Linked DNA regions of Mytilus edulis. The protein of the gene in region 1 purifies or fractionates together with the protein of each later gene. This does not show direct contact. Links are inferred from orthologs where the notes say so. Each region holds a gene or a part of one and is shown on either strand. Other genes may lie near its edges. The genes, in order: cytochrome b-c1 complex subunit Rieske, mitochondrial-like; complex III assembly factor LYRM7-like.

What was found.
Region 2: the proteins of cytochrome b-c1 complex subunit Rieske, mitochondrial-like (region 1) and complex III assembly factor LYRM7-like purify together in Homo sapiens (co-immunoprecipitation; 5 studies listed by BioGRID and IntAct, with this or other methods). This does not show direct contact. The link is inferred for Mytilus edulis from reciprocal best matches to the Homo sapiens genes UQCRFS1 and LYRM7.

Annotation. Positions count from the first base shown.
Region 1 is NC_092348.1:54,904,636-54,915,719, reverse strand, and holds the start of cytochrome b-c1 complex subunit Rieske, mitochondrial-like, read right to left. Parts: upstream 4,810-11,084; 5' UTR 4,751-4,809; coding exon 4,552-4,750; intron 1-4,551. Other genes in the region: chromobox protein homolog 2-like, read left to right, coding at 9,358-9,363.
Region 2 is NC_092351.1:69,226,014-69,237,199, reverse strand, and holds the start of complex III assembly factor LYRM7-like, read left to right. Parts: upstream 1-7,164; 5' UTR 7,165-7,253; coding exon 7,254-7,271; intron 7,272-11,186. Other genes in the region: transmembrane protein 232-like, read right to left, coding at 202-316, 2,453-2,586.

The DNA.
Region 1 (11,084 bases):
ACAACCACACTGTCCAGAGTCCAAAGAATCAATAAGACAATATACAATAAAATAAAATTGAGAATGGAAATGGGTAATGTGTCAAAGAGACAACAACCCGACCAAATAAAAAACAACAGCAGAGGGTCACCAACAGGTCTTCAATGTAGCGAGAAATTCCTGCACCCGGAGGCGTCCTTCAGCTGGCCCCTAAACAAATATATACTAGTCCAGTGATAATGAACGCCACACTAATTTCCAAATTGTACACAAGAAACTAAAATTAAAATAATACAAGACTAACAAAGGCCAGAGGCTCCTGACTTGGGACAGGCGCAAAAATGAGGCGGGGTTAAACATGTTTGTGAGATCTCAACCCTCCCCCTATACCTCTAACCAATGTAGAAAAGTATACGCATAACAATACACACATTAAAATTCAGTTCAAGAGAAGTCCGAGTCTGATGTCAGAAGATGTAACCAAAGAAAATAAACAAAAATGAAAATAATACATAAATAACAACAGACTACTAGCAGTTAACTGACATGCCAGCTCCAGACTTCAATTAAACTGACTGAAAGATTATGATTTCATCATATGAACATCAGACACAATCCTTCCCGTTAGGGGTTTAGTATCATACCATCATAACATATATGAGAAGAACATAACCTGTGTCATGCCAACAACTGTTTTTAGAATAAATGTGTTTAGTTCCGATGCAAAGACCTTATCAGTGACTCAATATTAACGCCAAAATATGCAATCTTTAATGACTTGACAACAGTATCGTAATTATATCCCTTCTTAAAATAAGTCTATTCAAAGGTTTTGTAAGTTTCTGAGGTGAATACTGACACCTTTGTGCTTTATAAAGAATATTTCCATAAAAAATTGGATGTGAAATACCTGAACGTATTAGAAGTCTGCATGTTGAGCTATTTTACGAATGATGTCTTTATACCGATGATAAAATTTAGTAAATGTTTTGACTAGTTTGTGATATCGAAAACCCTGGTGTAATAATTTTTCAGTAATACATAAATTTCTCTCGTTAAAATCTAAAACATTGTTACATACACAAGCGAATTGTACAAGTTGAGATATATAAACACCGTAAGATGGTGACAAGGGAACGTCACCATCTAAAAACGGATAATTAACGATAGAAAATGAAAAATCATCCCTTTTATCATAAATTTTAGTATTCAGCTTTCCATTAGTGATAAAGATATCAAGATCGAGAAAATGGCAGTGGTCATTGTTAGTATTAGCTTTATTTAAAGTAAGTTCAACAGGATAAATCTCATTAATATACATACTGAAGTCGTCATTATTGAGAGCCAAAATATCATCCAAATATCTAAAAGTATTATTAAATTTGTTTATCAGATGTTGTTTCGATGGGTCTTTGCTTATTTTGTCATAAATTGTAACTCATAACAATACAAAAACAGGTCCGCAATAAGTGGTGCACAGTTGGTCCCCATTGGAATTCCGATAATCTGACGATATATGGAATCCCCAAAGCGAACAAAAATGTTATCTAGTAAAAATTCAAGGGCATATATAGTATCAAAGCATGTCTAATTAACATAGTTTTTTTGTTTATTGCTACTAAAAAATGACCTAAAAGAGTTTGAACATATATATTCACATTCTGATTTTTTGAATGCCCATTTAATTAGATGTGTGAATTTTTTCTTAATGAGAATGTGAGGCAATGTGGTATACAGGGTAGAAAAATCAAAACTTTGAGGCCACAATTAAAAATATTTCAGTTTGCCCAAACCCGACCCATGATGACTGGGTGTGGGTAGGTAGGTAGGCAAATTCTTTTTTTTTTTTTTGGTATCAGAATCTGCATGAAAATATTAAAAGATCTTAAAACAGTATATATTTTTTTCCGTCAAACCTTTGTAGAGAAAACCAAAAGCCATGAATTTAAAACCTCTATAAATAAATTAGTCTACTATATGATTTGTATCCTGAGATGTTTATAACACTGACAATTGCTAGCTGTGTGAAAGGGCTGGTGGATTTATGAAGTGATTTTCAACAGTTGCATCAACACGATGTTTGTGTAAAAAAAATATCAGCTGATTATACACGTAATGATTAAATTTGTTTGCAGTTTTTAAATCCTATTTCTATTTAAATAGATTAAATGTCCTAAAATATTTATATGAATTATTATCTACCATCCTTAGTTTGTGTCTTTTTTATGTTTTGAAAACAAATTTGTATTTACATTATCACACAGGTAAACTAATTTGGCTATAAATAGATCAAAGCATGTTCTGTAGAATCTCCAAACTAAAAACGTATTTGTTATAATTTTATTTCTTTAAAAAATCAAGTTTAAGTTTTTGAAAATAATCATTATTGATAAAATATAATTGCATAAAGTTAACGTTTTCTGAAGACTATTTATTTTTAGGTCATGGTTCTAGAGCCTTCCTCACAAATTTGTATAAAAATCCAATATGGCGTCCATAACATGTTTTTACTTTTGCACATGTGAAAAAAATATTTCTGTCAAAAGTCAGATTTCTCTTGTCAAAAGGGATTTATATTGCAATAAATTATTCAGAGGGAGTTACATTCAGTAAAGATTATATTTCTGATTCTGTGAACAATTATAGTTTTATCAAATTCTCCCAAACAGCAACGTACTGATCTTGTCTAATGAGACTTGTAAATTTGAACTATTTGAATAAAAGGGCATCTAATTTACAGATAAAGAAAGATTATAATTAAAGACAACAATTTATCAAGAAATAATTCCTTTTTATTCAGTAAAAACAAAATCTTCTTGCAAGATTGTAAATTCGCAACTTCCGGATCCATTTCCTGTCAGAATAACATTGAAAATATTCGATTGCACATGGTTTTGAACAAATCTACCTGAATATTCTTATCAGATATTCGATAACACGATGAAATTAACATTGAGCATATAGTTAAGGGTTTGGTAGTACAGACAACTACAGCGTTAAAAAAACTGTGCCTCTTCACATGTTTTACTTTTACGTTCGTTCAATCAGAAGATAAAAACAGAGAACATCGAATATCGATTAACTGCGTCTTTTAATCTTATTCACAGTTACTTTCAAACGCAAAGACGACAAACATTAAGGTTTGTACGATGACGGAGCGGACCCAAAAAAGATCCGAAAAAAAAAAAATTCTTCAAAAAAACGTCAAAAAAAGAATTTGAGTCGGCGGGTTTATTTTGGGTCGGTCGCGTTTGGGCAAACATACAATCTTTTTATTTTGGCCTGAACAGATTCAAAATCACCAATATAAGCATGCAATTTATCAAGTACTTCCAACGAGTTCTTAACACTCCAAAAGTAATTTATTCCACTATTTTCGAAGGCCTTATTTGAACAATTTATTATAAGGTTTTTAATTGTACCAAGTGTGCTGGTAAGAAGAATAGACAATTTAGTAGTTGAACAATGGCTTGAAGACGAAATAAATCTATATTTGTAAGGGGTTTTGTGTAGCTTCGGAAGCCAATACATAGTTGGGACTTTCATTGTATTTGGCTCTGCTTGTAAAGCGGTGGCTAAAAGTTTATGTTTGTTACAAATTTTGTTTTCTGAAAATGGAGTCAGTTGGAATGTTGGTGAATTGGTGATTTCCTTTTTCAGAACCTCAATGTAAAATTTACGTCAAACAATAATAATATTATGGGGACGAAGTCCCCAATAACAGTAGAAAATTCAATAAAAAAAAAAAAAATCGGGAAAATTTCCCGAATTTTTCATTGTACTAATGAACTCAAAATCGTTCAAATCTTTTTTTGTCGCCTTTTTGAAATCCCGGACCTGCGCAGAAATGTACAATGTACTTCCTTTTTCCGGTCTCGTTTGTATGAAACTTTGAGTAAAATATATATTTATCAGTAGTATAAAATAGGAAGGAACGCGCAATACCAATTTCATTTTTAATAATTCCTTGATATGAAAAAACTTTACCTGATGACAGCGTTTCTTTGTTTACATTGCACATGACGTCATAATTTAAATAACATCACAACTACAATCCCTAACAACAGAACCAAAATCGGAAACGTTACGGTATTTCCGGTTTTTTTTTTTAACAAATATTTAAGTTACAAAAAAATAATTCATACAGACTTCGTCCCCATTTACAGGTAATGCCTGCCTCATATTATTAGCAGCTTTATCGGCTGGGACAAAAACACATTCCTTGGCTAGTTCTTTTAGTTTATGTTTGATACGAGAAAACCAAGACAACGGAAGTTTACAACTGTGAGTCATTTCTCAATAAAACTGGTTAGGTTCCTTGCATTATATTAAAGTTATTTAATTTCTTTTATAGAAAAGTGCCTGAGAATAATTTATGGGCCAGCTATTAAATAAACTGTATGCCTCGCATTATCTGATTATCAGCATGTTAAAATTGTTATGTCAGACTTATGTACAAAATGTATTGAAATAGTATTTGTGAGAGCATCAATTTCTATAATTAAACAAATAATTAAATATAAAAAGAAACAAAAATATCAGAATTGTGTGTGCAACGATCAATGTACTTACTACACCAGTTACTTGAAATTTTGACTGCAGACTTCGGTGCCAACTTATGTAACGTATAAGACGATTTCTTATCGTGTTGGGACGGTTTTAATGACACAACTTCTGGTGCCAGTGAAGCTGAAGGTAGAATCGGTCTTGTTATTTTCCCTATCATTTGTGAAACTGCTGGCATAGCAGCGGATTTAGGTAGGGAATACATATCCCAAAATTTTGTCCAAAATTCAAGGTGACCGGAAGAGAATTTATTTCGGTAGTTGCTCTCGTATATATCCGAAAATTAACAACTAACAATCTATTTTGGTGTCTTATATAAACAGTATTTACTTTTATTCAAATCTAAGTGTAATTAATCAACCTTATTTCGACACATAATAAATAAAAATTCAAAATATATTTTACGACATGAGTTTTTGGGTAGAGTAAAATGAATATAAATCCGACTGAGGATTAAAAACACAAAAAAGTCCCGGAACATCATATTCCGGGAATGAACAATTCATCGACAACACAATACAACACATCTAAATCTGATTATACACTAACGGTTACTATGTGTGATATGAAATCATTTTGCAATAAAAGCCTTACCATGTGTCCTTCTTTCCATTCCATCCTCTTTTCTTTTTCCCAGATCTTTCCAAACAGCTCATACAGCATTTGAGTTGAAGTTTAAATGTCTGCTTTCTTTATTTCTTCTGAAGTCGATGGTCTTTTACAGTCCATTGCCAAAAGCTCTTCCGAAGGTTGAATGCCAGCTTTATTTACAGGTGGGTCCTGGTTTAGCACATCCTTGAAATGCCCCACCCATCTTTTCATTTGCTCTTCATGTGTGCATGACGAGTGTTTTCCCTTCTTTGCTTTTGACTGGTCTACTTCCTTTCTGGCATTTCCCCGTTAGCAGTTTTGTCATACAGAGCTTTGATGTTGTTTGCTCTAGCTGCTTCTTCTACTCTGCTGTCAGGTTTTCTACAAATGCCCTCTTATCTCTCCTTGCACTGTTCCTGACATCCTTGTTAGCTATAGTTGATATACTCTTCAAGTTCTGATATGCTAATTGTTTTGCTGATCTTGTTTTGCTGTTGTTCAGGATATTTTTATTTTTTATTTTTCCATTCTTCCACTTTTACATGTGTTTCTGGCGTTATCCATTCCTTGTGTTTTCTATTTTTTAAACCACCTGATGTTTCGCTAGCTGTCGTGATAGCTTTTTGAATTACTTGCCAGTGATCTTCTATTGAAACTGTTTCCTCTATTGCATTCTTGGAGCGATTTTTTGGAATTCTGGAACATTTGGAACTCTATTTGGAATTCCGATTTCTTTTTTGCCAACATTGATATTTTAAACCGTTTCCTATTGATTCAATATTTTGGTGTTTCTTTAGCTTCAATTTGACTTTTGCTATAATAAGATGGTGGTCAGTGTCAGCGTCGGCTACTCTTTTAACTTGGACATATTGTAAACTACTCCTAAACTTCTTGAAGATGCAGACATGGTTTATTCGATTTTCAGTGTTCATGACTGGAGATATCCATGTTGCTAGATGACATTTTTGTGTGGGGGAAAACTGTTCCACCAATGGCCAGATTGTGATTTGCACAGTGGTTGACAAAAAAATCTCCATTCTCATTCATTTCTCCTAGCCCATGTCTTCCCATCACTTGTTCATAACTGGTGTTGTCACTTCCTATCTTAGCATTTGGGTCTCCCATTAAGATGGTGATGTCTTTGGAGCTACATTTCCTGGTGGTTTCTTCAAGCAATCGATAGAATCCTTCCTTGATGTCGTCCTTTGCGCCATTTGTAGGGGAATAGCATTGGATGATGTTTAATGATATATCCTTTTATGTGTGGTCTTGAATTTTGCCATGATGATTCTGGCACTTATTGGCTCCCAGCCAATTAATGTTTTCTGAGCTTTTTTTGACAGAATAATGGCAACTCCTTCAGAATGTTGGGTGTTCTCTTCCATATGTCCAGAGTATATAATCACTTCTCCTAATGTTAGTTTTGATTGTCCTGCATCATTCCATCTTGCATCAGCTATTCCTAGTAAACCTATTTCATATGCCTTCATTTCATTGGCGATGGTTTGTGCTTTTCCTGGAACGTACATAGATCTCACGTTTCATGTTCCTATCTTTGTTGCGGATTTAGAGTTCAGAAGTCTCAGTTGTGTAGCTTCCTTTCGGTTTTGGCCATCCAACGTCATTCTCCTTCTATGTAAAGGTCTTCTTTCTCTTTCATCCAAGGTTCGTAAATTTTCGTTTCGTGTTTCTGTAATCCGCTTTCACCTCCAAGCAGGACATTAGCCTACCTTAAGGTTCCAGGTGGGTTTTTAAAGGCATCTTGCATGCAGCTTTCCACATACGAGTCACTGGCCGGTGGGGAATTGTTTGCCCTCCTACGCCCTTTGTCGTTGTCGCTTGACAGCAATCTTCCACCGGGGCAGTGATCTCCCCACTATTTGTCCAAAAGCTGGAGTGGTTGTCTTGAAAGGACTAACGCCGTGATGGTTACCACAACCTGTGATTTGAAATCAGAGTTTTCCTTCTACTAGACAGGCTGCCTACCTAGGCTCACAAGACCCATCTTCCCGTCGCCCTTGTAGTTTTGCCTAAGGCCTTTTGGTGCTCAGTATTCATCTGTTACCACGGAAAGGAACTAATGATAGGACTTGATGTGGAGAGGCTATGTACTGACAGGGAGAGACTGACTAACTGCTTACCTTTTTACATTTCTGTTAGCAAGCGGCGCTGAAAGCGAGAGATGACAAGGCGAAGCACACAGATAAAAAAAAACACAGAACACTAGACGCATCACACAACATTTATCACACAGAATATCTCATACAGTTTATACGATATCTTTAATACTTTATGAGCAATATCTTCTTTTAAAAGTTTAAAAGATACCTTATAAAGTATAGAACAGAACAGAACAGAACATATTTTATTTCCAATTAAGGGCCCACAAGGGGCATACAGAGCATACATGAATAAGGAAAAAGAATATTAATTTGATAGATACATACAATGTAGATACAAACATTATTTTACATACAGTAACAATACAATTACTAACTCATATTCACTTTAATAAATTTACCAACAGCATTAAGGACCTGATTGTCTTCACAGTTTAATAAATAAATAAATTTATGCTGATTATCCAGTAAAGAAAAATTTGGAATTCTTTGGCAAACAAAGTCAAAGAGAGCATCTCTATCTGATTTAGAATTTTCACAGTTAGTTAAAAAATGGATTTCATCTTCAACACAGCCAGAGGAGCATTTTTTGCAAATTCTTTCATTTCGTGGAATATTTGAAAAACGTCCAACTTCAATTTGAAGCTTATGAGCAGAAATACGTAATTTGCATATAGATCTTCTTAAATCAAAGTCCTTTATTAAAGAAAGATAATTTTCATAACCAAAATTCTGCTTAAATTTCACATAATTAAACAGTTTTCCATCAGAAGCTTTATTTTGGCTAGCATACCAATTGCTAATATATTTAGTGTGAATTAATTTGCTAGATATGTTCAAAAATTTATATTGTCCAAAATGTTTTACTTCTGGTTTAATTTCAAAAACTTCTAATACTTTCTTAGCAAATGAGTACCAAGAAGTTATGTTAGATTTGTGAAGCTCTTGGCTGCATTTATAAGCATCTTTCAATAGACTGAATTCAGTTGTAAGATTTTCAAATCTATACCAGTATTTTACAATTGACTTTACAATATCATAATGTAAGGGGAAACGCCCCAGTTCTGATAATACAGCAAAATTGACACTCCTTTTGTGTACACCAAGTATAAACTTAGAAAATTTAAGATGGAGATTCTCACACTTAAGATTTTTAAAAATATTTTCAAGATTAAATAAGGAAGACTGTAATTTATTACAAGAAACATTATAACCTCCCCATACCTCTGAATTATATAACAGAATGGGTTTAAGGGTATGATCAAAAATATGAACACAAGATTTTATTCCAGGAGACAAATTGATAAAATCCTTTCTAAGTTTATAGTAGGCCTTAAGAGCCTTATTATAAAGTTCAGTTTTAGCTAGATGAAAACTTCCAGATGCAGTAAAGTGAACACCCAAATATTTGTAATGAGCGACACAGTCAATCAAGTTATTCTGCAGTCGAAAATTCGCTTGAATTTTCCTTCCAGCCTTATTAAAAATTATGACTTTAGTCTTTTTAATATTAACTTTAAGGCACCAGTCAGCACAATATTTTTCTAGCTGATCAAGTCTACTTTGAAGCCCTGTGGCTGATGTTGACATAATCACAATATCATCTGCATACATCAAACAATTTAATTTCTCGGAGTGCAGGGAAACTGCATCCAGGCAGGAGTCAAGATAAGATATATGATATACTAGTATCTTATAAATATTTTTATATAAGATAGCTAGTATAATTTCTGAGATATCTTATATAGTTTATATGATATAGTTTTTTGTAATAATATAATTTACCGGCATATTTCTTCCATTTTACCTATCCTTTGAAGTTTTTACACCTCAAAATCATAAAACGGCGAAATTGTGTCCCTGGCGAATATGAGCGCCCACTTTATGTCTCTGCAAATCGTGATTGAAGAATAAATTTGGTTCGAATTTCGAAAACTGATTTCACAATTCTTTTCAAAATGGTCCAAGTATTCTTAAAATTGATTTATTTTTTTTGGTCCGAAATATCCTAATCTCGCTTCGAAATGTCCGCGACTGAATCTTTGTTTGCTAAATACTTTACCCATTTGCAAAGCACGACGGGAAATCGGGAAATTTAAACATGGAGGTTTGTATTTCAAATTTTCAAATATCCGATACTCTTACTTGATGTTTAATTCTTTGACTTTGGGTTTCTTATGTAGTACTTTAGTCATGTTAATGATGATTATTACCAATAAAGGAAGCCAAAACTTATATTGCATTTGATATACTTAAAGCACTTGAGCCACTTTCACTTTAGCGTCCCCACGCACCTGACTGTGAGGCTGACAAGGTTGTAAACAAATCTGCCGAAGTATTTTTTTGCTTATTTTCTTTAGAAATATTATATGCTTCCAGTTACACCAGTCATAACCATACTAAATGGGCGTGTGGGACAATTATATTATTCAAGACATTCCAAATACTATATATAACGTCATGAACAGGTTGTGCTTGTGGCTGTGGATAAACACCCACTTGGGTCATTGTTATTGACATTATGCATAGTATACCTGAATTGTCAATTTTCAGTTCTGCAATTCATCTACATTGTTGTTTAATGCTATGATGACCAGAGTCTGTCCAAATAATTAGGAAGTCTGGCAAGGCTATTTTTTTTCTCAATTAAACCTTCCTACGACAGTCACATGTATGATGTCATGAAGCTGAAGCTATATTTTACTTCTGGACTTTGAGAATGAATTTGGGGGGGAAATTTGAGACACAATTTAAGGTTGAAATCTTCATAGTGGGCCAGAAATTTTTGCAAGGTACATGTAACCATGGAAGTATTATATTGACAGGAACTACTACGACCAGACTTCAAACGTTTCATCTGTGATGCCGCGCGCAATTTAATGACATGTTAATTAGCTTGAAACATGGCACGTTATTTTCATACCAGCGTGTGGTGACCTACAATATTGTCATTATCGGTTGCTTTCGGGATTACAGAAATAAACGAAGAAATCGAATGTTGTGATAAATTCTTAGGAAACAGCAATCGGCAAACCTCGGCAGATTCCGCTACCTTACATCTGCATATGTGTGCCGATTGAGTGATTGATAGATTAATTCGACACATCATTAATTCTATAGAAAAACACATTGACGATGGAAATTTGTACCAAATTTATTGAATAAATGCCCCATTTTTATTGATTTATTTTTCGGTAGAAATTGGACTAATAGTATATGTAATATATATCGCAAGTTGTGATTATATAATAACTACTGTTAACTCCACTGAGTGGCACACATTTCCTGCATATTTAAGACGATTGTAAATGATCGTTCTGATAAAATCAAAAGATCAAAGAGATTTTAGATAAATGTAGGAATTATTAAGTTTCGCTCTAAATCCAGGTTAAGATCATTGGTTGGTATATACGAATGTTCAGCTGAACCCTGATGTGTTGTTGAAAATTTTTTTAATACTGCGACTCAAGGATTTGTATAGTGACATTATACAAATTCTTGTGCGACTGTTCAATAATATTTACCAGTATCATTTGGACGGTTTCATTTGGTCGGATAGTGATAACATGTTTTAGGGGACAAAAATGTATTATATAAATAGCTATATAACGTAGTTAGATCTCTGTTTTCCTCTGCTGTATTTTATTGATTGGTACTTGCTCGATTAATTTTCCAATTGTAAACTGGAAATTTCTAATTTCCAGGATTATCCAGTAACTTAACCATATATATTACCATGATGTAACAAAGTACCTTTTGTGTTCTTATCGATACAAAATATCCAAAACAAATAATAAAAAAAAATACGATTCTATATGATGTGGGCAA
Region 2 (11,186 bases), on another chromosome or scaffold:
TTTAATCTTTGAACAAAGTTTTATCAGACTTTAATCATTGGAACAAAGTTTCATTAGATTTTAATCATTTGAACAAAGTTTCATTAAATTTTAATAACTTGAACAAAGTTTTATCAGACTTAAATTATCTGAACAAATTTCATCAGATTTTAATCCTTTGAACAAAGTTTTAGACCTTTCTGTAAGCTTCAACAGTATTACCTTAGATCTTTCCAACATTTTGTGAGCTGTAGCCTCGTATTTCTCTCTCTCATCCAATGTTTTAGCATTGTTGTACTGGTATACAAATTCCTCTGTAACTTCTAATGGATTACGACTGAAAATGATATCGTTTTATTTTTAAATCATACATGTACCATTATTCAGAGAAAACAAACTTCACGTGAACTGTGCAGTGAAAGAAAAAAGCAGGATAAAGATTTGAGATGAAGTATGATCCTACAACAACCATTTTCCATTTTGCAATACAAATGATTTTCTGGTTAAAGTTGACTATTCAACATATTCATTACTAGCAGCATACGATGGCCCATTTTTTTTAGTTGTTTGTCACATAATGTTAATGCATACTTTATTTCACAGGTCATGTATTATGACAATAAACATTTCATTGTAAAGTTTGTAAACACATTATTTTGAGGTTACAATTTCTGCTGCAATAAACATGACAAGGATAATAACAAAAAGCTTTAAAGAGCCTGTGTCTCTCACCTGGATCCACGTTCATCATTAATAATGACTACTTTACAATATTGCATACTAGAAATCAACAAGAGGCTGTCAGAGCGACATCAAACAGGATTTATTAATATTTATTTTTAAATATCACAAGAACCATAACTGATGCACAGTTAAAGTGAAAATCATCAATATCAAACTTGACCTCCATTTTGTCATCAGTAACAACATATTAAAATTTGAAAGGCTTGATTAAATAGTTCATGAGTAAATGCAACAACATGACTGGTAACACATATTTCAATCTTTCAAGAACCATAACTCCAGAATAGAAAAATGAAAATTGCCATTATTGTACTTGACCTCAATTTTGTCATCAGTAACAACATATTTGAAGTTTAAATGCTTTGGCTGAACGGTTTATGAGTAAATACACGGACACAACTGGAAACACCATTTTTCAATCTTTCAAGAACCATAACTCCTGAATGGTAAAAGTTAAAATCATCATTATTAAACTTGACCTCCCTTTTGTCATCAGTAACAACATAATAAAATTTTAAAAGCTTTGGTTGAACAGTTCATAAGTTAATGCATGGACAGGACTGGAAGCGTCATTTTTCAATCTTTCTAGGACCAGATAACTCCAGAACCGTAAAAGTCAAAATCATAAATATTGAACTTGACCTCCATTTTGTTGTCAGTAACAGCATATTAAAATTTGAAAAGCTTTGGTTGAACGGTTCATGAGTAAATGCACAGACAACATTTGGCTGCCCCTGTCCGACTGGCCGCCCGGCCATACATCCCCAAATCAATAACCGACACTTTTTTCACAAAAATCTGGTTAATAAAGCTTATATCTTAAATCCCTTTTTTCAGTTGATTGTTTTTGGCTGATGGTGACAAATTAGGTCACGTCACCATCTAAAAATGGATATTTTAAAACAATAGGAAATGATAAATCATCTCTTTTATCATACATTTTGTGTAAATTTGGGTATTAAGTTTCCTGTTAAAGATAAAGATATAAAAGATCCAAGAAAGGGCAGTGTTCGTTGTTAGTATTAAATTTATTTAAAGTCAGTTCAATTGGATAAATCTCTTTAGTGTGCTTACTGAAGTCGTCAATATTGAGAGTCAATGTATATATAGTCATGATCATCCAAATGTATCTGAAAGTGATATTAAATTTTTGTATTCGATATTGTTTGGATTGGTCTTGCTGATTTTGGTCATAAATTATATCTCATAACAATACAGAAACAGGTTTGCAATAGGCGGTACACAGTTAGTTGGAATTCTGATAACTTGATGATATACAATGATTTACGAAATCTCCACATATAGCACACACAAATATTATGGAGTAAAAATTCAAACGCAGTTATAGTATCAAAGCAGGCCCAATTGACATAGTTCTTTTGTTTGTAAATTACAATTTGTTGTAACTAAAAAATTACCTCAAAGAGTTTGTCCATAGATAGCGCATTCTGACATTATAAATGCGCATTCTGACATTATAAATGCGCATTCTGACATTATAAATGCACATCTAATTAAGTGTGAGAATATGAAGACTGTAGAATGAAATTGTTAATAAAACTACTTAAGCAGTAAGATCACAGGGTTACTTATTATGCACAAATTGTAAAACTTAAAAAAAAAGACAACATATAATAGAATTAATTGCATCAAGATATGATTTAACATGAAATATGGTATCTGAAAGAATAAGTTGGTTTACAGTACTTTCTAACAATAAATATTCTACCTTGTTTGTAAAACTTTTTGACTTTCTACACTCTGCAGGTAAGACTGTTTGAGTAAACGTTCCTGTAACTCTAATCTTTGACTATGTGATATAATACCAAACTTGTGAACAATTGGAATCTTTGTAATCGGCATGGTTTTGATTTACAGTTTCTGGAAAAAATAAGATAACAAACATATTTTTAAATCAATATTCATTTGGTTTTAATCAAATCAAATCAAATATTTTATTGTCGTATAAACTTTACATGCAGTTTGTGACGAACATATATTAACACAATGAACACAATAAACATATATACGTTCATATCAAACATACACAATAAAAACAGATTCAAAATTTATAAATACAAATAAGCTCAGGGATCTCCATGGATGAAAATTGAACGATGGAGGAACTTTCACCATCATAAACCGTATCTACGCTGTACAGCGTAGCGCGATCAACAATGTTTCATCCCTCCATGACTTTATCTAGCAAATCGATGCTATGCAACATGCATCTTTCAAGTCGGAATAGAAACCGGAAACGCTGATGTATCAATTTAATTGTAAACTACGAAATGAATTCGGAATTACGATACGATATTTATTTACAGGAAATATTAAAAGTTTTTACTTTTTAACTTTTAAAGTAATTCTATATTATCGTTACAATACAGCAATACTCGAGTTATTTTCGATGAAATAATAATTACTGTTTTACGTTTCATGTTGATATTTCTTTTTACTTAAAAGTTTAGTTCTTCATGTTTTTGGGTGCTTTTACAGTACCAGTTTAACATGTTTAAAGCTATGACCATTTCTTTCAAAAAACTCTGAGACAATACTTTGGATTTAACAATCTAAAGGTTTAAGTGCTGGGTAAAAATTGCAGGATAAAAACAATATATATGTATAAAATACAGAATGAATTTGTACTCGCTAGGAAACTGCAGAAAAGGCTCAATGAACCTGCCCTGGCTTTTCATCCTGAATTTAAAGTTCATACAAATTGATTTCATATTTTTCTAATACAATGTTTGTTTCATGTCTGTCCTATTTGTTTTTTTTACATAAATTGTCTATGTTCATGATGGTAGCAATACACAGTTAGGAGTATATTTTTGCATTTTGGTCCCGGTGAATTTTTCAAATAGGAACATTATTGTGTAATAAAATTCATTTTTAGGCAGCTGAGTGCTAATTTAGCCTTCAAAGATGGTTTATAAGAGCATCAAGATTATTTTTTACATGATTTAAGGGCTATTTTATTTTTGACAATCTGTATTTTCATAGCAAGACTGGCCATCGGTCCAGAAATTAATGTAATGTTTACAAACACTTTTTTCTACACGAAGTTTTTGACGCAATTTTACAAAAAAAACGAGACGAAAGACCAAGGATTTGTATTTTCATTGGATTTGCTGAATGATATATGTACACAGTTTCAGAATTTTAAGGTATTATCTCTAGCAATTGAAATTCTACTTTTAGCCAAATTTTGGGGAAATATGTGACATCTTTTCCCCCCTTTTTGTAATATTTTATAACACATAAATGCAGATTAGGCCAAATAAAAAAGTATGTGTGGTTCCAGTTACATCTGAAAAAAAGTTAGGGTAGGTAGGTAGGGATTTTTTTTTATTTTATGTTTTTTTTTACATTGAGTCTATGGGAGCAACATTCTGACTTTAACAGTGCTTAATGAAAAATGACAATAAAACCTTTAGGGTAGGCTATTTTTCAGCCGAAAAAGTAGGGACGGTACGTAGGGTTACTGGAACCACACATATATTTTTATTTGGCCTTATTGCCATGGATACACCCAAAAGAAATTATATTTTACCATTTATTATTAATACTTGAGCTTTTTAAGAGATGTTTTTTGCGGTAATATTCTACATAAATAATGTATCAAGCCACATCATTTGAAATTAATTTATTCAGTAAAATTATCAGCATGATTGATCATTCATCAATATTGCTTTATCAGGTCAGGAATAACCACCAATTGGTGGATTATACCTCAGGCCACAATTAAAAATATTTTGGTTTGCCCAACCCCTACCCAAATGTTGAGACAATGGGTAGGTAAGTAGGCATTTTCTTTTTTTTCTTCAAAAAAACAAAATTGAAGTATCGGGTGTTTATTAGTCTTCATGCCTTTCTGATTAAAAAAAAACTTCTTCAAATCAGGACAATAAAAGAATTTGAGTAGGCAGCTTTTTTCTGAGTAGGTAGGGTTTGGGCAAACAAACCTATTCTTTTTTATGGCCTCAATTGATGTATAATCCACCAAATTGGCACCAATTGATGTATAATGCAAGTTTTTTGTAATTAAATGCTAGTGTGAGATAGGAGCATGATTTTGCAACTTGCAACCTATTTCATGACCCTTATCGAGTCCTACGAAAGTTTCAGTTTTGTCTAAGCCTGCTGCATCTCTTGAGAATGCATGTGTACAACAATTCTTTTGTTGAAACATTTGTGCTATTGACCATGATTGACTTTTGATAATGAAAGTTAAGTATTTAACAAAGAGCCCCATTCACCTTTTGAGTTGTACTCATGATCACATGACTGCAGACAGTAATGATGTCCATTGACAGGTGATTACAGGTAAATTTGCCAATCAAGAATTGACAAGATAACAAAAGAAGAAACTTCAAATAAATGCAATATGTTATGTTACAATACTAAACTAGTAATGTTTGACAAGTTTTCATACCAATATGGTTTTAAGAAAACAATGCTCCATTTTGGTGGAATAATTTGGTATCGGGACTGTTCGCCCTAATAACATGTTCGCTCTAGGTCCGTTCGCTCTGAGTTCGTTCGCCCATAGAGTCCTTTGTCCTACTATAAAAATATCAATATTCAGGGCATTGAAGTTGAATAAACTTATTCAGATATTTCTATGGTATATATATCATGTATATTCTTGAAATTTATGAAAACATTGAAATATTTAAAAGTTTATGGCTTGTTTAGGATCATTAATTGTTCAATGACAAAATAATTCGGATCACTGATTATTGTGATACTTGTCTTTTGATGGATTAATAATAAAAACAAACGTTTTGTTTAGATAAAATATTCAGCTTGAAATCAATAAAAACAATGATGTACAAACTATAAATTATGAAACCGACTTACATGTTCATTTATTTATACTCTAAGACTAGTCATACTGCATACATTCGTGATTGACTGAATTTCGGGGGGGGCCACTTCAAACTTTTTTGGGTAGGGGTGAGCAGCTGAGACATCAAGTACCCCACCCTTTTCATATATTTCGTTTATCAAAAATATATACCTTGCCATATATTAATGAACACAAAACAGACCTATAGATATATTTGGATATTTTTCATCTTCTTGTACATTAGAGTTTACAAAAATTTTGAGGTCCCGCTCATTTTACGTTTTTGTTTAGATGCAACGCAGTCGCAATAATTACACCTTGCTTTCCCAATAAATTCTTCACTCCTCTATTTGCCCCTTTTATTATGAAGAAATTTCAATTTGAAAAGACAATACATATTGTTTTATCAGATAAATGTAGTAACACTTCAGATAGTATCACTTTTACTGAGTTTACATTAATTAAAAACTGATTTGTCGTTCCCTCTTGAAGGATGCTAACACTATGCTATGGAATTTCTTCAAATGTTTCATGTATGCAATCCTTTCAATGTTAATTAGGTGGAAATGTCAAAATGATTGGATTTATTGCATCTATTTCTAACCTCAGTGGAAATACCACATTGAATAAATAGAGTTTAATTGGTTTGACAAATAGCTGATGCATTTACAACTGAGTTTTAACCGCATCAAAAATAAATACGAACATTTGATTAGTTTTAGATACTTATAATATATATCCAGCAAGTGATAATTTCAACCTATTGATATATTTAATCTGAATTTCTCACCCTTTTCACTTTTCATATATCATGAAGCATGAAATAGTGACCTATTCCAGCGGCTCATCCCTACCAGTCATTACATAGGAAGTGCCCCCCCCCCCCCCCCCCCGAGGACTGAATACAATTATTTTGTTAACAAAATATCAATAAAAATAAATAAATTCCAGTATTCTACTCTGCAAATCAAAGGGAAAATGATAAATTGATTGCGGCAATATAAATATTCTGTCAACTTTTCAACAAACTTTAACATAATTTGTTCAAATACTTAAAACAATGCGACTAGACAACAATTTGAAAGAAAGAAAAAATATCAGGGCGAATGGACCCTGAGCGAACAGGTATCAGGACGAACAGGTACTAGGGCGAACATAAATCAGGGCGAACAGACCCAGATTCGAATAATTTGTTTTGAAAAACAAAGAATTATACACCAATTGTTCTATACCATTATATGTCAATTGGTGGATTATACGTCAATTGAGGTATAATCCACCAATTGGTGGTTATTCCTGACCTGTTTATATGCAAGAAACCATTGATTTTGACTTCGCCCAAGTGTAAGGACCTAAGAGCTACGGTTCCGCAGCTAAGATCAGGTCGGCTTCTCATGCTTGTCGACCGTCATCGTTTCAAAAGATTGCCGTTTTTGATAATGTACATCGTTTATTAATAAATCTTCTGTGTTAACTAGATGTTAGGAGTAACTGAAACTCATAAGACCTACAAATAAACGTGATTTTGTATAGAAAACTGATCCAGCTTCATACGTTTCCCTCCATGATGTTTGTTTCCATAGAACTACTTCCGGTTTTAATCCTGTACAAGGAAAACTCCAAAGAGATAAAAAAAAAAATCCCTTTGGGAGTCTTCTAGAGTTTTCTTCGAAAAATGTCAATTAGGAGCAAGGTAATGCAGACAAGTCAATGTCAAAAGTTTTGTTTAAAGTAGAATTCACAAATAACCTAAGGTCTCCAAATAGAATTAATACACTACATTTAAGACAAAACAAAGCACATAATAAACTATAGACAATATGTAAGCTTACTTTCCACTGTGCTTTTATTTTAATAAGTTTTATTCCGGGTCTGGCAAGGCTATTTTAATTTCGTCCTAGAAAAAATTAACATTGTAGGAAGGTGTCTCAGAAAGTCCCAGAAAAATAAAAAATAGCCTTGCCAATGACGTCATAATTATTTGGACTAGGTAAAACCGTTTTCCCATTAACATCAGAGCAATGACGTATAATTAACATATAACAGGATAGCTATTATTTGAACTTGGAATTATTTTTAATTATGGAATTCGCATAATTTCTTGTGTTTAATTTTTTTTATAAATTCCATGTTTATTTTGTATTATAACACTTTCCATGCAATGCATTTTGGTTAGATAGTGTTGTGCGCGGCACAGTACATTCTATTGAAAATATACTATTTTCTTTGTGATAGAAAGTGTTGTACGCAGCACAGAACATTTCAGTACAGAACAATCATGGAATTTATGAAAAATTTCAATAACAAGAAATCAAGCAAATTCCATAGTTAAAAATAATTCAAAGTTCAAATAATAGACTGTTAATTATACATCCTTGATCAGAGCTTTTGCTTAATATCTTCAAACATTTTGAACAATTGTATATTGGTACATGTTTACCTTTCATTTTTGTTGAGCCTTTGACTTTAGTTGAAAAAGCGAGACATAGTGATCCTACATTCTGTTGTTGTCATAGTCGTCTGCAATGGCGTCCATAAATATTATAATAATAATAATAAATTCTTTATTTAAAGAGGGTAACTCAATTAGAACTAGTCTAATTTTCATTGAGGCCCTCAAAAAAAAATACATGCATACAGTTAACATTCATACATTAAAATACAATATATATTACAATATATATTACTAGTATACACAATTCAATTATTGAAATATACAAATGGTAATAAATGGCAATATTTGATCAAGTTTTGTTAAAGGAATAAAAATTATTTGACTTGCATATATAATTTTCAAGAAAATTATTATAACAATGTTTCTTGAACATGTTGAATAATTCCACATCACAACATTTTTTTATTTAGAGTGGTAAATTATTTCATACTTTGGTTGCAGAATAGTGAAAAGATTTTTTTTTTAAATTTTGTATTTGGTGTTGGAACAAAAAGATCATGATTAAAGACAGATCGAAAGTTGTGGTGTTGCACATCATCAATATTTGGAATTTGCTAAGTAATCAAGTGTTAGTCCATTTACAATTTTATACATTATAATTGATTGTTGGTATTTTATTCTTTTGGTAAAAGATAGCCATTTTAAAGATGAAAACATGAAATTAGATGGAATAGAAATATCGCATTCCAGTATAATTCTTGCTACTCTTTTTTGAAGTTTTATCAGTTTATGATTGAATCATTCTATCTGAATCTTTTTGTAATAAATTTCCCTAAACTGAACTACAATAGTCTTTATATGGTAGAATATATATGCATTATAAAATAGTTGCCTTGTGTGTATTGGCAAATATACTTTAATTTTATATAAAAGTGATATTTTAGATGAGATAATCTTACGTATATCCTCTGGGTGCAGGAATTTCTCGTTGCATTGAAGACCTGTTGGTAACTTTCTGCTGTTGTCTGCTCTATGGTCAATGATGGTTGGGTTGTTGTCTCTTTGGCACATTCCCCCTTTCCATTCTCAATTTTATTTTATTTTTTTGATATACGATCAACATGATCTTCCCAGCTTAAATTTTCATCAATGTCAATTCCAAGTAATTTGAAAGAATGGACATTCTCAATACATGTTTTGTTGACAGAAATACCTAATTCTGATTAGTTGTGTAAGTTTTTGTTTTGAACCCAATTTCATACACTTAGTTTTTTTTGCATTGATTTTCATACTGTTAATGTTACACCATGATTGTATAGCATTTAAATCATTTTGCAATATGTTGTTTATTTTTTCAGTGTTTTTATCATGAAAATGCAATGTTATATATTATTCACTCTCAGTGTGGTTAAAGTTTTTGAAATTTTAATAACTTTCTTAAAACATGTTAAACTATCCTGGATTTGTACCAAACTTGGACAGAAGAAAATCCACTGATGCTGATTGCATCCCAACTGATGGAAATGACATTTCTGATTCTGAATTTACCGAAAATCTTAAAAAATGACACCTATAAATTCGAAATCTATAATATACTGATAGCAAGATAAAACAAAAAATTATTATAGGCAACTGAAAAATGAACTATATATAGATTTCTCATATTACTCATCAGGCTTCAATTATTACGAACAAAACGAAAAGTTCATCTAATATTTTTTTTCTAAAACAATATATCTTTGTTCTTTATTTTTTAAAGACACCTTGTTTGCCAAGCTTACTTGTATCAGGTTTTAACCATCACTAATCACTCCTAATTATTAAAGATCAAACGACCAAATCAACATTATAATTGGTATTCAAAATAATCATCAGTCATGTCTGACATGTTTCATAAAAACGGTGCGTGCCTATGAAAAATGAAATAACTTCTTAAATATTAAATTGATTTTATCAAAACCAAAATTATAAGATGAAGACTTAAATTAACTATCGAATGCATACCGTCACCACTCACTAAAACATATATTTCATGTCCTGAGTGGACTTTGAATGTCCTGAGTGCACTAGTGGCTGCATGTTTTTAAGGGATTTGCCTGAGTTGCCAATCTCTTGTATTACATACATGTATATGTATCTGTCATCATCAATCATGATTATTGGCTAGATCCTGTACGTCTAAACACCGCTCAGGGCTTATATTGTTGATAGTGAAAGTGACAAAGACGTAAACGAGAGACCCACCAACAAAAACAATTGACAATATTTCATACATAGATGGATCTTGTGTCCTCAAAGCAACAAAAAGTCTATAAAAAACACAACATTGAAGTGGGATCGGAGGTCATACATCAACCTGTTAAAATAGAACAATAGATTAGAATCAAAGCTCTTTTTTTTTTCTTTTTCTTTCTTTTTTTTAAGTTTTCCTAAAACTTGGAAATATGCTAATAAATATTTATAGTATAACTAATCGCCGTATTTGAATATAAAAAATAAGACAACGCGTGACCGAACGACGCATGGTTTAAACGAGTGCGCAGCACGAGTTTAATCCATAGCGGCGTTCGGTCACAAGTTGTCTTATTTTTGATATTCAAATACGGCGATTAGTTATTCTTTTTATTACATTGGCAAATGTCTTTTTTTTATGAAATTAATGTAGAAAATGTAAGGAACTATATCTTTTTCCTACGCATTGACAATTTGTTTTGATCCGACGTTATCGACGTCTTGACAACGCCTTTTGTTGTATGACGTCAGAGAGTGAAATAATTCGTAAATATAACTCAACATGCAGACATCTTATACGTTCAGGTATTTCACATCCAAAATTTTATGGAAATATTCTTTATAAAGCACAAAAATGTCAGTATTCTCCTCAGAAACTAACAAAACCTTTAAATAGACTTATTAAAAGGGGATATAGTTACGATACTGTTGTCAGGTCATTAAAGATTGCATATTTTGGCTTTAACATTGATTCACTGATAGGGTCTTTGCATCGGAACTAAACACATTTATTTCTAAAAAAACAGTTGTTGGCATGACACGGGTTATGTTCTTCTCATATATTTTATGATAGTATGATACGAAACCCCTAACGGGAGGGATTGTACCTGATATTCATATGATGAAGACATAATCTTTCAATCAGTTTAATTGAGGTCTGGAGCTGGCATGTCAGTTAACTGCTAGTAGTCTGTTGTTATT